Linked DNA regions of Macaca mulatta. The protein of the gene in region 2 interacts with the protein of the main gene of each other region in a biochemical or structural test. Links are inferred from orthologs where the notes say so. Each region holds a gene or a part of one and is shown on either strand. Other genes may lie near its edges. The genes, in order: SPARC, COL1A1 and THBS1.

Evidence for each region.
Region 1: the proteins of COL1A1 (region 2) and SPARC form a complex in vitro, tested with the Homo sapiens proteins (2 studies listed by BioGRID). The link is inferred for Macaca mulatta from reciprocal best matches to the Homo sapiens genes COL1A1 and SPARC.
Region 3: the proteins of COL1A1 (region 2) and THBS1 form a complex in vitro, tested with the Homo sapiens proteins (2 studies listed by BioGRID). The link is inferred for Macaca mulatta from reciprocal best matches to the Homo sapiens genes COL1A1 and THBS1.

The regions. Positions count from the first base shown.
Region 1 is NC_133411.1:160,596,842-160,600,484, forward strand, and holds part of SPARC (SPARC), read right to left. Parts: intron 3,488-3,643; coding exon 3,339-3,487; intron 1,205-3,338; coding exon 1,056-1,204; intron 568-1,055; coding exon 539-567; 3' UTR 1-538.
Region 2 is NC_133421.1:59,821,729-59,825,371, forward strand, and holds the end of COL1A1 (collagen alpha-1(I) chain), read left to right. Parts: intron 1-50; coding exon 51-158; coding exon of another isoform or gene 159-183; intron 184-469; coding exon of another isoform or gene 470-537; coding exon 538-591; intron 592-675; coding exon 676-783; coding exon of another isoform or gene 784-823; intron 824-1,021; exon of another isoform or gene 1,022-1,120; coding exon 1,121-1,174; coding exon of another isoform or gene 1,175-1,259; intron 1,260-1,507; coding exon of another isoform or gene 1,508-1,536; coding exon 1,537-1,644; intron 1,645-1,736; coding exon 1,737-2,019; intron 2,020-2,151; coding exon 2,152-2,390; intron 2,391-2,601; coding exon 2,602-2,878; intron 2,879-3,007; coding exon 3,008-3,408; 3' UTR 3,409-3,420; downstream 3,421-3,643. UniProt on the Homo sapiens protein: Type I collagen is a member of group I collagen (fibrillar forming collagen).
Region 3 is NC_133412.1:16,879,200-16,883,470, reverse strand, and holds the start of THBS1 (thrombospondin-1), read right to left. Parts: upstream 2,843-4,271; 5' UTR 2,693-2,842; intron 2,097-2,692; 5' UTR 2,068-2,096; coding exon 2,001-2,067; intron 1,724-2,000; coding exon 1,164-1,723; intron 301-1,163; coding exon 225-300; intron 1-224. UniProt on the Homo sapiens protein: Adhesive glycoprotein that mediates cell-to-cell and cell-to-matrix interactions.

The DNA.
Region 1 (3,643 bases), on a different chromosome or scaffold from region 2:
GTTCTGGTTGGTGGGTTCTGCAGGGACCTCTCCCATCACTGGGCCTCTAGTCCCAAAACCATCCTTGACAACATCGTGTGTCTGTTACTTCCCTTTGCCCACCTTCAGGCCACCTGGGGAAGCCCACAGGCAGCCAATACCCTGAAATGAAATGAACACAAAGTCTGACTCGGTGAGTATTAGTTTCAAACAGAATACTAGAGAGAAAAGTTGAAGCTGCAATGTGTGTTTAAGGCAGAGTCCAGCAGATCCATATCCACCCATGTGCCAATAAGACAATGGGCAAAGCTACAAATGGCAAGAGAAAAATGGGACTATTAATGAGTGTGGAAAAGGCCTTAATAGTTAAGTTACAGCTAAGAATGTCATGTCTTGGGTTAGAATTTTCATTTTTAGCACCGTTAAAGTATTCACTTAAATCTATGTTAGCACCTTGTCCCCAGGCAGAACAACAAACCATCCAAACATTTTAAACATTGGGGGAAACAGGAAGGGGAGGGTTAAAGAGAGAGAATCCGGTACTGCGGAAGGAGTGGATTTAGATCACAAGATCCTTGTCGATATCCTCTGCAAAGCAAGAAAAGATCAGGGTTAAAAATAAGGCTGTGTCGATGATGACGCACTTCCCAAGGAGTTGGTGGACTCCCACCCATCCCCAGGGACAGGGGTCTAGGTGGCCGTCCAAGGTCACCCAGGAAGTCAGTGACGGAGGAACCTCGCTTTCCCTGTCTCTGGCCTTTCCCTGTCTCTTACACACGCTGCCAAGTTACACTTCCTGTTTCCTCTCTGTGTGCCTGCCAGTTCCCAAAATAGTGTTTAGCACAAGGTGAGTGCTAACGCTGGAGGAAGGGAAAGAGAGAGAGACAGTCGGACGGACAGAGAAGGATCAGGAAGATGCCCAACAAACCGGAGTCAAATAGGCAGACAGAGCAGAGACAGGCAGAGAGGACAGACAACAGACAGACCAAGAGAGCAGAGAGTGTGAGGATGACAAGCCAGAACCCTGGGAGCAGTGCTTCTGCCCATGCCCCTTGCTCCTTTGCTCAGACACTCACTCTGCTTGATGCCAAAGCAGCCGGCCCACTCATCCAGGGCGATATACTTGTCATTGTCTAGGTCACAGGTCTCGAAAAAGCGGGTGGTGCAGTGCTCCATGGGGATGAGGGGAGCGCGCAGTGGGGCCAGCTCGGTGTGGGAGAGGTACCTGCAGGGAAGAAGGCAGGAGAGGGCCTGAGGCATGGAAAAGCTCCACACCCAGCCTAGGGAGGCAACCGGGGAGTTAGCCTGCCCCAGAGCGTGGAGGAAAGGATATTTAAAGCAGGACAAAAAGCCAGAATCCCAGGTCTACCCCTAGCTCTGCCACTGACTGCTCTGAGACTCAGAGAACAGCAGTGCCCCATTTGGAACCTCAGTTTCTCCTTCCAGCAAAGAGGAGGAGTTAGCTGTAATCACTAACAGCCCTTCCAGTTCTACGGTTTCATGGGCTCAAAAACAAAGGTCTTTTTGGTGTGTTTGATTGTTTCCCAATTGGCTGAGAACTGGGGGCACAGAAACTTAAAATCAAAATTCAGCACTTCTGCTATGGGTAGATCAAAATCTGGCATAACACAACCCTGTATATTGTCTATGGACACACATTTATATAACTATAAATGCCTAGTAAAGCGTCTAAAAAGCCACACCAATCTGGTGACAGTGCGGCCGTCTGGGAAGGAATGTGGAAAGGGACTGGGATTGGCCGTGAGGGTTAATAGGAGCTCTAACCATCTTCATAGAGCTTTACTTGTGTATCCTGTAATGTCTGAGAGGGAGGTCCCTTGGATGTCTCCCACTGTCCTCCCTCCCTATTCTCCCTGCTGGCCTTAGACTCCAGAGCATGTGTATAATTTTTTTCTTTGTTCCCCAGAGCCCCCAGCTACTTGTCCCTAAAACACTCTCCCCGCCAAGGATCTCCAGGGAACAATGTGACTCCAGTTGTCTTCTTAACCTCTAGACCTCCCAGCCCCACCCAGCTCACCAAAGAAATCACACAATGTTTGAACTGATAGGAACCTTCTCCTCCCCTTCATTGTACTGGTGGAAAACCGAGGCCCAGGGAGGGGCAGGGATGCAGGCAAGGTCACCTACAGCCCTGGGATGGGAGGAGGAAGAAGTGGGTCCCCTTGCCCAGGCTGGAGCCCTTTCCCAGATGTGCAGTCCTTGCACCCCATCTGGAAGCCTCCCTCCAGGCCCTCTGTTGCAGTGGGATCCAGTTGCTTTGCCTGAGCTCCAGATGTTCCCCCTTGACTTTTCCCCTCCCTGCCACAATGAGTGACTCAGTTGGATCCCAGCCATGGCAAGAGCCTGGGAGAGAAGTGGCCGGGAGATTCCCAGAGCTCAGGAGACCCCAGCCCTCGGGATCACTGGCAGGGTTGGCGGACTCCAGGCACACGGGCTGGATAAAGAGCAAGGGGTGAAAATCCTAGAGAGGCAGTTCCCTGAGTGTGTGAGTAGGGGAGCCCTTCCTTTCTGCTGTGTGTGATGCTCTGCTTCCACAACCCAAGGACAAAGTGAAAACAACTCTGGGAAGGTGCAGGTGTGGCTTGCTCTATCTGAGGCTGAGCGGGAGCTCTCACTTCATCACCACAAGAAAAGTTCAGAAGGTAGTGACAGGGTTATGAACAGAGTATGAGTCCATAAGGGCAAGGACCATGCCAGCTCTGATTGCTGTTCAATCCCCTGCCTAGAATAGTGCAGGGCACAAAATGCACACTCAGTAAGCATTTGCTAACTGACCAGCTGCCTGCTTGTTCTGCAGTGCAGTTGCAAGTGCCTCATAACTCATTTGGACAAGGGACAAGAGTCCTCAAACTGGGGGCTCGCAAAATAGATGGGATTTTTTGGATAACTTCCAGGGTCAGTTGCGCCCTGTTGGGGCTGGGCCTTAGGAGAGGGCTTAGACAGTACCAGGTGGCTGCACTGCCTCTGGATGTTCTGCTGAAGGACAGGAAGCATATGGCTGACACCACCTTGTCCCCTGCCACCCCTTGGAGCCTGGTACTCCTTCCTAACTCACACTCCTTCATTATCCAGATATCCACGCCTAGTACTTGCAGGATTATGGAGCTATTTTGAGCTCCTACTGACTTTCACCTCAGCATGAGAGTGTCTTATTGGTTTCTTTCTCCCAAGTCCACATCTTTTCTCCAGATGCCTCATCTTTCTGCTCCAATCCCCAGGCAAACTGTGGATGCCAGGGCTAGAAGCAGCATAGGCTGCTGAGAGGCTTTCTGGCCCTAGCTAGCGCACCTGCCAGCCTGGAGTCATGGCTCTGTCCACTCTAGGGTCTGGGGTCTTACCCATCAATGGGGTGCTGGTCCAGCTGGCCGAACTGCCAGTGCACAGGAAAGATGTACATGTTGTAGTTCTTCTCAAAGTCCCGGGCCAGCAGCTCCACGGGGTGGTCTCCTGCCTCCAGGCGCTTCTCATTCTCATGGATCTTCTTCACCTGAGGGAGTAGAGACCGTGTGTGACAAGAGGTCCACGGAGATTGTCTGGGCCAGTCGGGCCCTCCCACCCCTGCCAGAAGGCCAGAGCAGGCAGAGACTAACTAGACCAAAGCTCACAATGAGGGGAAGGAGGTGTCATAGATGGGTACCAGCAT
Region 2 (3,643 bases):
CTGGCCATTCAGCTGGAGCTGGCCCATATTCCTCTGCTCTCCCCCGCCAGGGTGACCGTGGTGAGACTGGCCCCGCTGGACCTCCTGGTGCTCCTGGTGCTCCTGGTGCCCCTGGCCCCGTTGGCCCTGCTGGCAAGAGTGGTGATCGTGGTGAGACTGTAAGTAGCTGGGCTCCAGTTCCCTGTGTCTGGTCAGGCCAGGGACTCTCCAGGCCTCCTTAGAGGCCTGGGGATGGGTGTCGGACTTCACCCAGGCAGGGGGAGGAAAGGAGATCCTGCAAGATGTCGGGGCCTTAATCCAAAAAACTGAGTTAAAGCTCAGCCTCAAGTCCCCTCTCCCAGACAGGACCCCCTCTCCCTTGAGCTGGCCCCAGCTCTCATGAAGATTGCAGTGGGGAGGTTTCCCTGGGAGTTGGGAGAGATGGCCACAGTGGGAAGGGGCTGAGGAGAGAGAGATGCAGCAGGGGGAGGCCTCATCCTGCAGCCCCAGCCTCAGCCTCCCCTGGCCAAGATCTCATGCTCTCCTTGCTCTCCTCAGGGTCCTGCCGGTCCCGCTGGTCCTGTCGGCCCTGTTGGCGCCCGTGGCCCCGCTGTAAGTTCCCTGCTGTGTCTCCCACACCTTCGGAACCCTACAGATGCGGACAGTGCCCCACTTGATGCCCCGTCTCTCTTCTAGGGACCCCAAGGCCCCCGTGGTGACAAGGGTGAGACAGGCGAACAAGGCGACAGAGGCATAAAGGGTCACCGTGGCTTCTCTGGCCTCCAGGGTCCCCCTGGCCCTCCTGTGAGTATGCTCAGCCCCTCCCCAGTCCTCATGCTGTGCTGTATGATAGAAGGGGGAGCTTTGCCTCGGTTTCCCCCTCTGGATAGTCACTCTTACCCCTCCCTAGTGAGGACTGGGGTCTGAAGATTTATGGGCATGTCCAAGAAGCTTCTGAGAGGGTGAGGGGTACACAGAGAGGGATTATGGGAGAGGTCTCTGCCTATGGACACCCTGGGGCTAGATTTCCAGAATAATGAAGGGGCATGGGCTGCCCACGCTGCCCTCGTCTCTCCAGCAAGGCCCTCAGGCTACATTTGACCCTCACTGGGCCTGAATTGCCTTTTTATCTGTCCTTCAGGGCTCTCCTGGCGAACAAGGTCCCTCTGGAGCCTCTGGTCCTGCTGGTCCCCGAGTAAGTCATGCCTTCTCTCTCCTCTTCCTGAGTCCCAAGCCCAGGCTCACCTTGGGGACCCTTGCCAGGGACCCAGGCACCCTTTGCCTCTCTGGAGAAGGGTTAAGGGACAGGGAGTGGACAAAGAGAAGAAGAATCCTGAACAAACAATCTGATTTAGCTTTGGCCTCTCTGCTCCCCAGTCCGTCCTCCCCTGGCTCAGCGGCTGGAGCGAGCTATGGCATGTCCTATGGAAAGAGGCTGAAACTGGCTCTATGAGGCCGTGGAGCCAGAGCCAGCAGGGAGGGTGGTGGGCTTCTCCTCCAGAGCTGGGGTTGTTGGGGCTTCTGGCAGCCTTTCTCAAACCATTTCCCCCACTCCAGGGTCCCCCTGGCTCTGCTGGTACTCCTGGCAAAGATGGACTCAACGGCCTCCCTGGCCCCATTGGGCCCCCTGGTCCTCGCGGTCGCACTGGTGATGCTGGTCCTGTTGTACGTAGCCCCTCATCCCCTCTGCTCATGGCCCTCCAGCCCCCAAAGCACTTGGAAGCCGGTAATCCCCACTCTCCTCCCTCTCTGTGCAGGGTCCCCCTGGCCCTCCTGGCCCTCCCGGTCCCCCTGGTCCTCCCAGCGGTGGTTTCGACTTCAGCTTCCTGCCCCAGCCACCTCAAGAGAAGGCTCACGATGGCGGCCGCTACTACCGGGCTGATGATGCCAATGTGGTTCGTGACCGTGACCTCGAGGTGGACACCACCCTCAAGAGCCTGAGCCAGCAGATCGAGAACATCCGGAGCCCCGAGGGCAGCCGCAAGAACCCCGCCCGCACCTGCCGCGACCTCAAGATGTGCCACTCTGACTGGAAGAGCGGTGAGGGCCTGCCCTAGCCTCCCCCTCCCTCCTACTTCTGCCATGCCAGGGTCCCCATGCCCATATGTGCCCCTACCATATGGTGCTGGCTGCTCCACTTCCCTGACTCCACCTTGCCCTGCCCTACCACAGGAGAGTACTGGATTGACCCCAACCAAGGCTGCAACCTGGATGCCATCAAAGTCTTCTGCAACATGGAGACTGGTGAGACCTGCGTGTACCCCACTCAGCCCAGTGTGGCCCAGAAGAACTGGTACATCAGCAAGAACCCCAAGGACAAGAGGCACGTCTGGTTCGGCGAGAGCATGACCGACGGATTCCAGGTGCGTGAGCTGGACCTCAGAGCCAGTGTTAGGAGATGGGCTAGCCCAGTGCTCAGAAGGGACATGAAGTCCTGGAGTAGGTCTCTGCTAAGGGTGATGGACAGAGCTGGGCTGGGAGGCAGGGGTCCCAGGTCCCTGATAGTGGTTCAGACACAGGCTGCCTATGGGCAGGTGGCCCCTCTTGATATAAGGGTGTATTGGGCCGCTCTCTGAGGACCCTGGACAGGGAGGCCAGGCAGGACTAGAGGTTCCTGCATAGCTGCTCACTCTTCCCTCTCTCCCCTCCCCTGCAGTTCGAGTATGGCGGCGAGGGCTCCGACCCTGCCGACGTGGCCATCCAGCTGACCTTCCTGCGCCTGATGTCCACCGAGGCCTCCCAGAACATCACCTACCACTGCAAGAACAGCGTGGCCTACATGGACCAGCAGACTGGCAACCTCAAGAAGGCACTGCTCCTCCAGGGCTCCAACGAGATCGAGATCCGCGCCGAGGGCAACAGTCGCTTCACCTACAGCGTCACTGTCGATGGCTGCACGGTGAGTGGCCAGAATCCTCAGGCAGGGCCCCACCTCTCTGGCCTTGGGCTTTTTGGGCAGGCCATAGTGTCCTCTTTCCATCACTCCCACGTGGTAATGCCCCCTCCCATTGTCTCCGCCCCACCCCAGAGTCACACCGGAGCCTGGGGCAAGACAGTGATCGAATACAAAACCACCAAGACCTCCCGCCTGCCCATCATCGATGTGGCCCCCTTGGACGTTGGTGCCCCAGACCAGGAATTCGGCTTCGACGTTGGCCCTGTCTGCTTCCTGTAAACTCCCTCCATCCCAACCTGGCTCCCTCCCACCCAACCAACTTTCCCCCCAACCCGGAAACAGACAAGCAACCCAAACTGAACCCCTCAAAAGCCAAAAAATGGGAGACAATTTCACATGGACTTTGGAAAATATTTTTTTTCCTTTGCATTCATCTCTCAAACTTAGTTTTTATCTTTGACCAACCGAACATGACCAAAAACCAAAAGTGCATTCAACCTTACCAAAAAAAAAAAAAAAGAATAAATAAATAACTTTTTAAAAAAGGAAGCTTGGTCCACTTGCTTGAAGACCCATGCGGGGGTAAGTCCCTTTCTGCCCGTTGGGCTTATGAAACCCCAACGCTGCCCTTTCTGCTCCTTTCTCCATCCCCTCTTGGGGCCTCCCCTCCACTCCTTCCCAAATCTGTCTCCCCAGAAGACACAGGAAACAATGCATTGTCTGCCCAGCAACCAAAGGCAATGCTGAAACACCCAAGTGGTCCCCACC
Region 3 (4,271 bases), on a different chromosome or scaffold from region 2:
TTTCATTTGGTGTGAAGGATGCACGTAGAGGGGTGGCGTGTATGCGCACGTGTGTGTATACATGTGTGTGTGTATGATACCCCTTGAGATCACTTTTGTATGCCTCTTAATGATTTTACTGGGGGTAATTTATGTACAACCACTATTGCTAAATTCCTCAGCTTGTTTTTGGTGGAATTTCCCCCCGATTTCCCTATGTGCTCTAAAAATAGAGGGGTACTCACAGCTGGAGCAGCCTTTGTTCCTGAGGATGTCTTCTGGTGTGGTTCCAAAGACGAACCTCACATTCTGCAGCACCCCCTGTGGGCAGAGGATACACATTACTTGTAGAAAGCTGAGCGGGGTGGGGATGGGGTTGGGAAGGACTGTCTCTATGCTAGGAAAAGCATACAATAGATGTTCTAAAAGCTTCAAAGAGCTGTCTGAAGATCACTATGTCAAAATAACACAGCAACATAAATTGCCAAAAACTTCAAAATCTTAATTGTGACTTCTGCCAAGTCTTGAGTATTTTACAAAGAATTCAGTTATCAGCCTACTTGGGTACACAGGAAATGGAATCTGATCCTAAGCCCAGAGGATATAATGACACTTTCCAGTGTCAAAGAGTTAAATGTGGGAGTTCAAAGCCACCCTTGCAAAGATCTAGAAGTTAAGGCGCAGATGAAGCTGTAACAGCAACAACTAACTGCTATTTTAACCTTTTATGTGAGACCAGCTGCATCCCCATGAGGAATCCAATAGCAAAGTGGTACTGATTCTGCCCATAGAAAGTATCCATTTCAAACAACATTAAAATTGGGGGAATGCATTTGAAATAAGCTATTTTCTTAAGAGTCTAGGGAGTATCTAAGGCTTGAACAGGCTGATTGCTAAAGGAAAACCATTTCTTGTTTCCTTGAGTAGTTTTCAAAGTGTGCTTCCCAGACTACCAGCATCAGCATCACCTGGTACTTGTTAGAGTTGCCGTTTTACAGAATCCCAAACTCTGGGGCTGGGGTGCCGCAGCGTGAGCTTTCACAAGCCCTCCAGGTGATGCTCATGCTGCCTAAAATCTGAGAACTGCTGCTTTAGTTTACAGACAGGATTTCCTGTAGCCCTCCTGGCAGGTCACCTGTCTAGCAGATGATCCCACGGAGCAGGGCTCACAGAAGAAGCCTCACCTGGAAATTGTCATTGACGCCCCCCTTTGCGATGCGGAGTCTGGCGATGCTGGCCAGGTCTCTGGTGAAGACGCTTTGGATGGGGACGTCCAGCTCGGCATTCTCCATCTTTTCACAGTCGATGTACAGCTGGGCCCTGTCTTCCTGCACAAACAGGGTGATGCTCTTCCACTGGCCGGTTGCCAGGAGAGCTTCTTCCACAGACACCACGTGCTGCTTTCCTTGGACGGTCAGGCTGAGGTCCAGGGTGCCCGCCTTGCCGTTGGACACCACGCTGAAGACCTGGCCAGAGTGGTCTTTCCGCTCCAGGGCCAGCAGCGTGCCCCGGGTCTTCTTCATCTGCCTCAGGGAGGCCAGAAGCAGGAAACCCTTCTCGGCCCGCACAGCATCCACCAGGTCTTGGAACTTGTCATCAGGCACAGGGGGGATCAGGTTGGCATCCTCGATGCGGAAAGCTGGGCTAGAAGGGTCAGGACCCTTCACCAGTCGGCGCCCAGACCCCTTGCGGGCAGCCCCGGTGAGTTCAAAGATGTCAAACACGCTGTTGTCTCCCCCAGACTCTGTTAGGCAGGAGAGAACACATGGTGAGCTTTGGAGGCTGGGACCAGCGGTAGGGGGCTGAGTCCTCAGGGGTGGAGACAAAGGGCTGGGGTGAGAACTCCTGGCAGCCACTGAAAGAGCTGAATAAACACCAGGATCAGAGTGAAGCTGCGTCCTGATGTCCAGTCAGGCTCAAGAGCAAAGGAGCTGGGAGAGGACAGCATGTGAAGGGGCACACTTGGGGTAGCCAGCCCCTCTTCTTCGTCCCTCCTTCCCCTAAAGGTGCCACACACTCACCTGGAATGCGGTTGGTGCCGCACACATGCAACAGGAACAGGACGCCTAGTCCCCAGGCCAGCCCCATGGTGGAGCTGTTGGTGCCCAGCAGGGATCCTACAGCAGGAAGCACAAGAGCCCAAGGTCAGAGATCAGTTAGGCAGGGAGGGTGGGCAGAAACAGGGCTGGGCATGGGGACAGGGCCGGTACCATCCCTCTTTGACCCCGCGTTTGCTGAAATGAAGGACAACAGGATTACTTTCCAGAGAGCATGAGAGAGAGAGAGAGAGTGAGAGAGAGACGTGGAGGAAAGAGATGCTGGTTTTAAAGTGTGGGGGGCGCAAGACCAACAATTCGGGGGCTTTTGGAAGTCGAAGGTGAACAAGATCAGGAATGTAGTTTGGAGTTGCAGGGAGGGCACGGGGAAGTACAGACTCTCCCCTGGAGTGCTGATACAAAGGCTTAAGGAGGACTTCAGAGAGTAAAGAAATCCTGGGGTGTCCTGATCAGTTGGTTTGTGAACCCCAAGGCTGGAGAGGATGGCTCTGGAGCCTTGTCCCGAAGAGTCCTCCAGCGGCCGAGAGGGGCGAGCTGGGGCAGGAGAGCGGGGAGAGTGTGGGTTCCGGGGTCCACCAGAGGGACTGAAGCCTCAGCGCTCCAGGTGGATGTCCCCGGCAGCTTTGGTCCTCGGCGGCCGCCGGGGGGGGACTTACCTGTGTGGACCGGAGCGCGGCGGCCGGGAGCGGTGGAGAGGGCGGCGAGGGCTGGAGGGACGCGGGGACCGCCTGTGCGTCCGAAGTGGAGGTTGCACCGGGAGAGAGGCAGGAGCCCTGAACTCGCAGACCAGCTCGGGCGCAGTGGCTGGCAAGGCGGAGGAGCAGCGCGCTTTTAAAGGGGCGCTCGCATTCCTGGGGATTCCTCCGGCCAATGGGCGGCGGCCGGGCAGGAAGCGGGAGGGGGGCCAGTCTGGGCTCCTCTCTCCGCCCCCCGCTGCCTGGCGCGCAACTTTCCAACTAGAAAGTGAAGGGGGCGGGGGTCGGGGCTTGGGAGCACTGGAACTTCTCAGAAAAGTCGGTGCCCGCCCACGCAGCCTTGGCGCGCACGGGCTAGGCGCTAGCGCTCTTGCGCCACGCGGGCTCGGGGTGATCAGCGAGCATCCCGAGCAGGGACGGGGCTGGGGCGACCACCCAGGAGGGCCCGCGGGGTGGGGCAGGGGCTTTCGGGCGAGCCGGTCTCCCGGAATGCCTGGGTGATGGCTGAAAGGTGAACACTAGAGACTGGGCCCAATTTGTAAAAAGAAAAATGGGCCGACGGGGCGCAGGAGACCCCAAGAGAGCCATTCGTTAAAATAGCTGCCCCTCGGGCCCTCGCTGACCTTCTTCCACCGTCCCGGTGGGGTGAGGACACGCGTCCCCCTAGCGCCTGTCCTGAGGTGGCCCCACGCCCGCCCCCGCGGGAGGTGAGCGCGGCGTCGGCGGGGCCGGCGGGTTGTTGAGCCGCGCTGGCCTTCGCTGCCTTCGGGCGCTTTCCTGCCGCGGCTGCCGGGGGCCCACAGAGGCGCCTCTCCCGCTGCCGCGGCGCTCCCTCGGCCGGCCGCTTGGGGGCGGTGTGCGTATTCTCATCAAGGGGCCCGGGGAGGACAGCTGCTTTCTACTCTAATTTTAAGGAACCTTACTCGTATCCAGTTTCCTCAAGCCAAATTGAAATTGTGTCTTGAAAAACAGTTTTTGTGCCCACTCGTGCCTCTTAACGTGACTCCTGTTTGGAGAATTTGCAGAACCATCTGGCTCCAGAGTCTTCAACTATTTACAGAACAGACCCATAGAGTAATAAATTACTCTCTGCCTATTATTGTATTTCCCTCTTTCCTCCCTAAACGTTCTTTTCATTTTTCGGCTCCTGAAACCGAGGTGTGGGTTACATTTCTGTGGGTGCACGCATTGCCATGAGTGCCGCTGCCTAGTGCTTCTGTCATTGAAGTCTGGTCTCCAAGCCACTGTCCCAAGCCAGCATGACTCCAGCTGCCTGGAATTCCATTCATGTCTTCGAGATGGGACGTCAGCAGCCTCGCTCCCGGTGCCGTGGTCCAGCGCTATCGGGCTGGCTCCGAGGCCAGGGCATAGGTAGAAGCTTGACCAAATAAGGATCTCAGCACAGCCAGGGGAAACCCCTGGGGTTCACCTCCCATCTTAGCAGTTAAACCTGGCAGAACTCCCGACTGCTGCAAACAGCCAAGGGTTTACATTCATCAAAGAGCAATTTCGCTCTTCTTGCGTGGGAGTGTTGTATGAC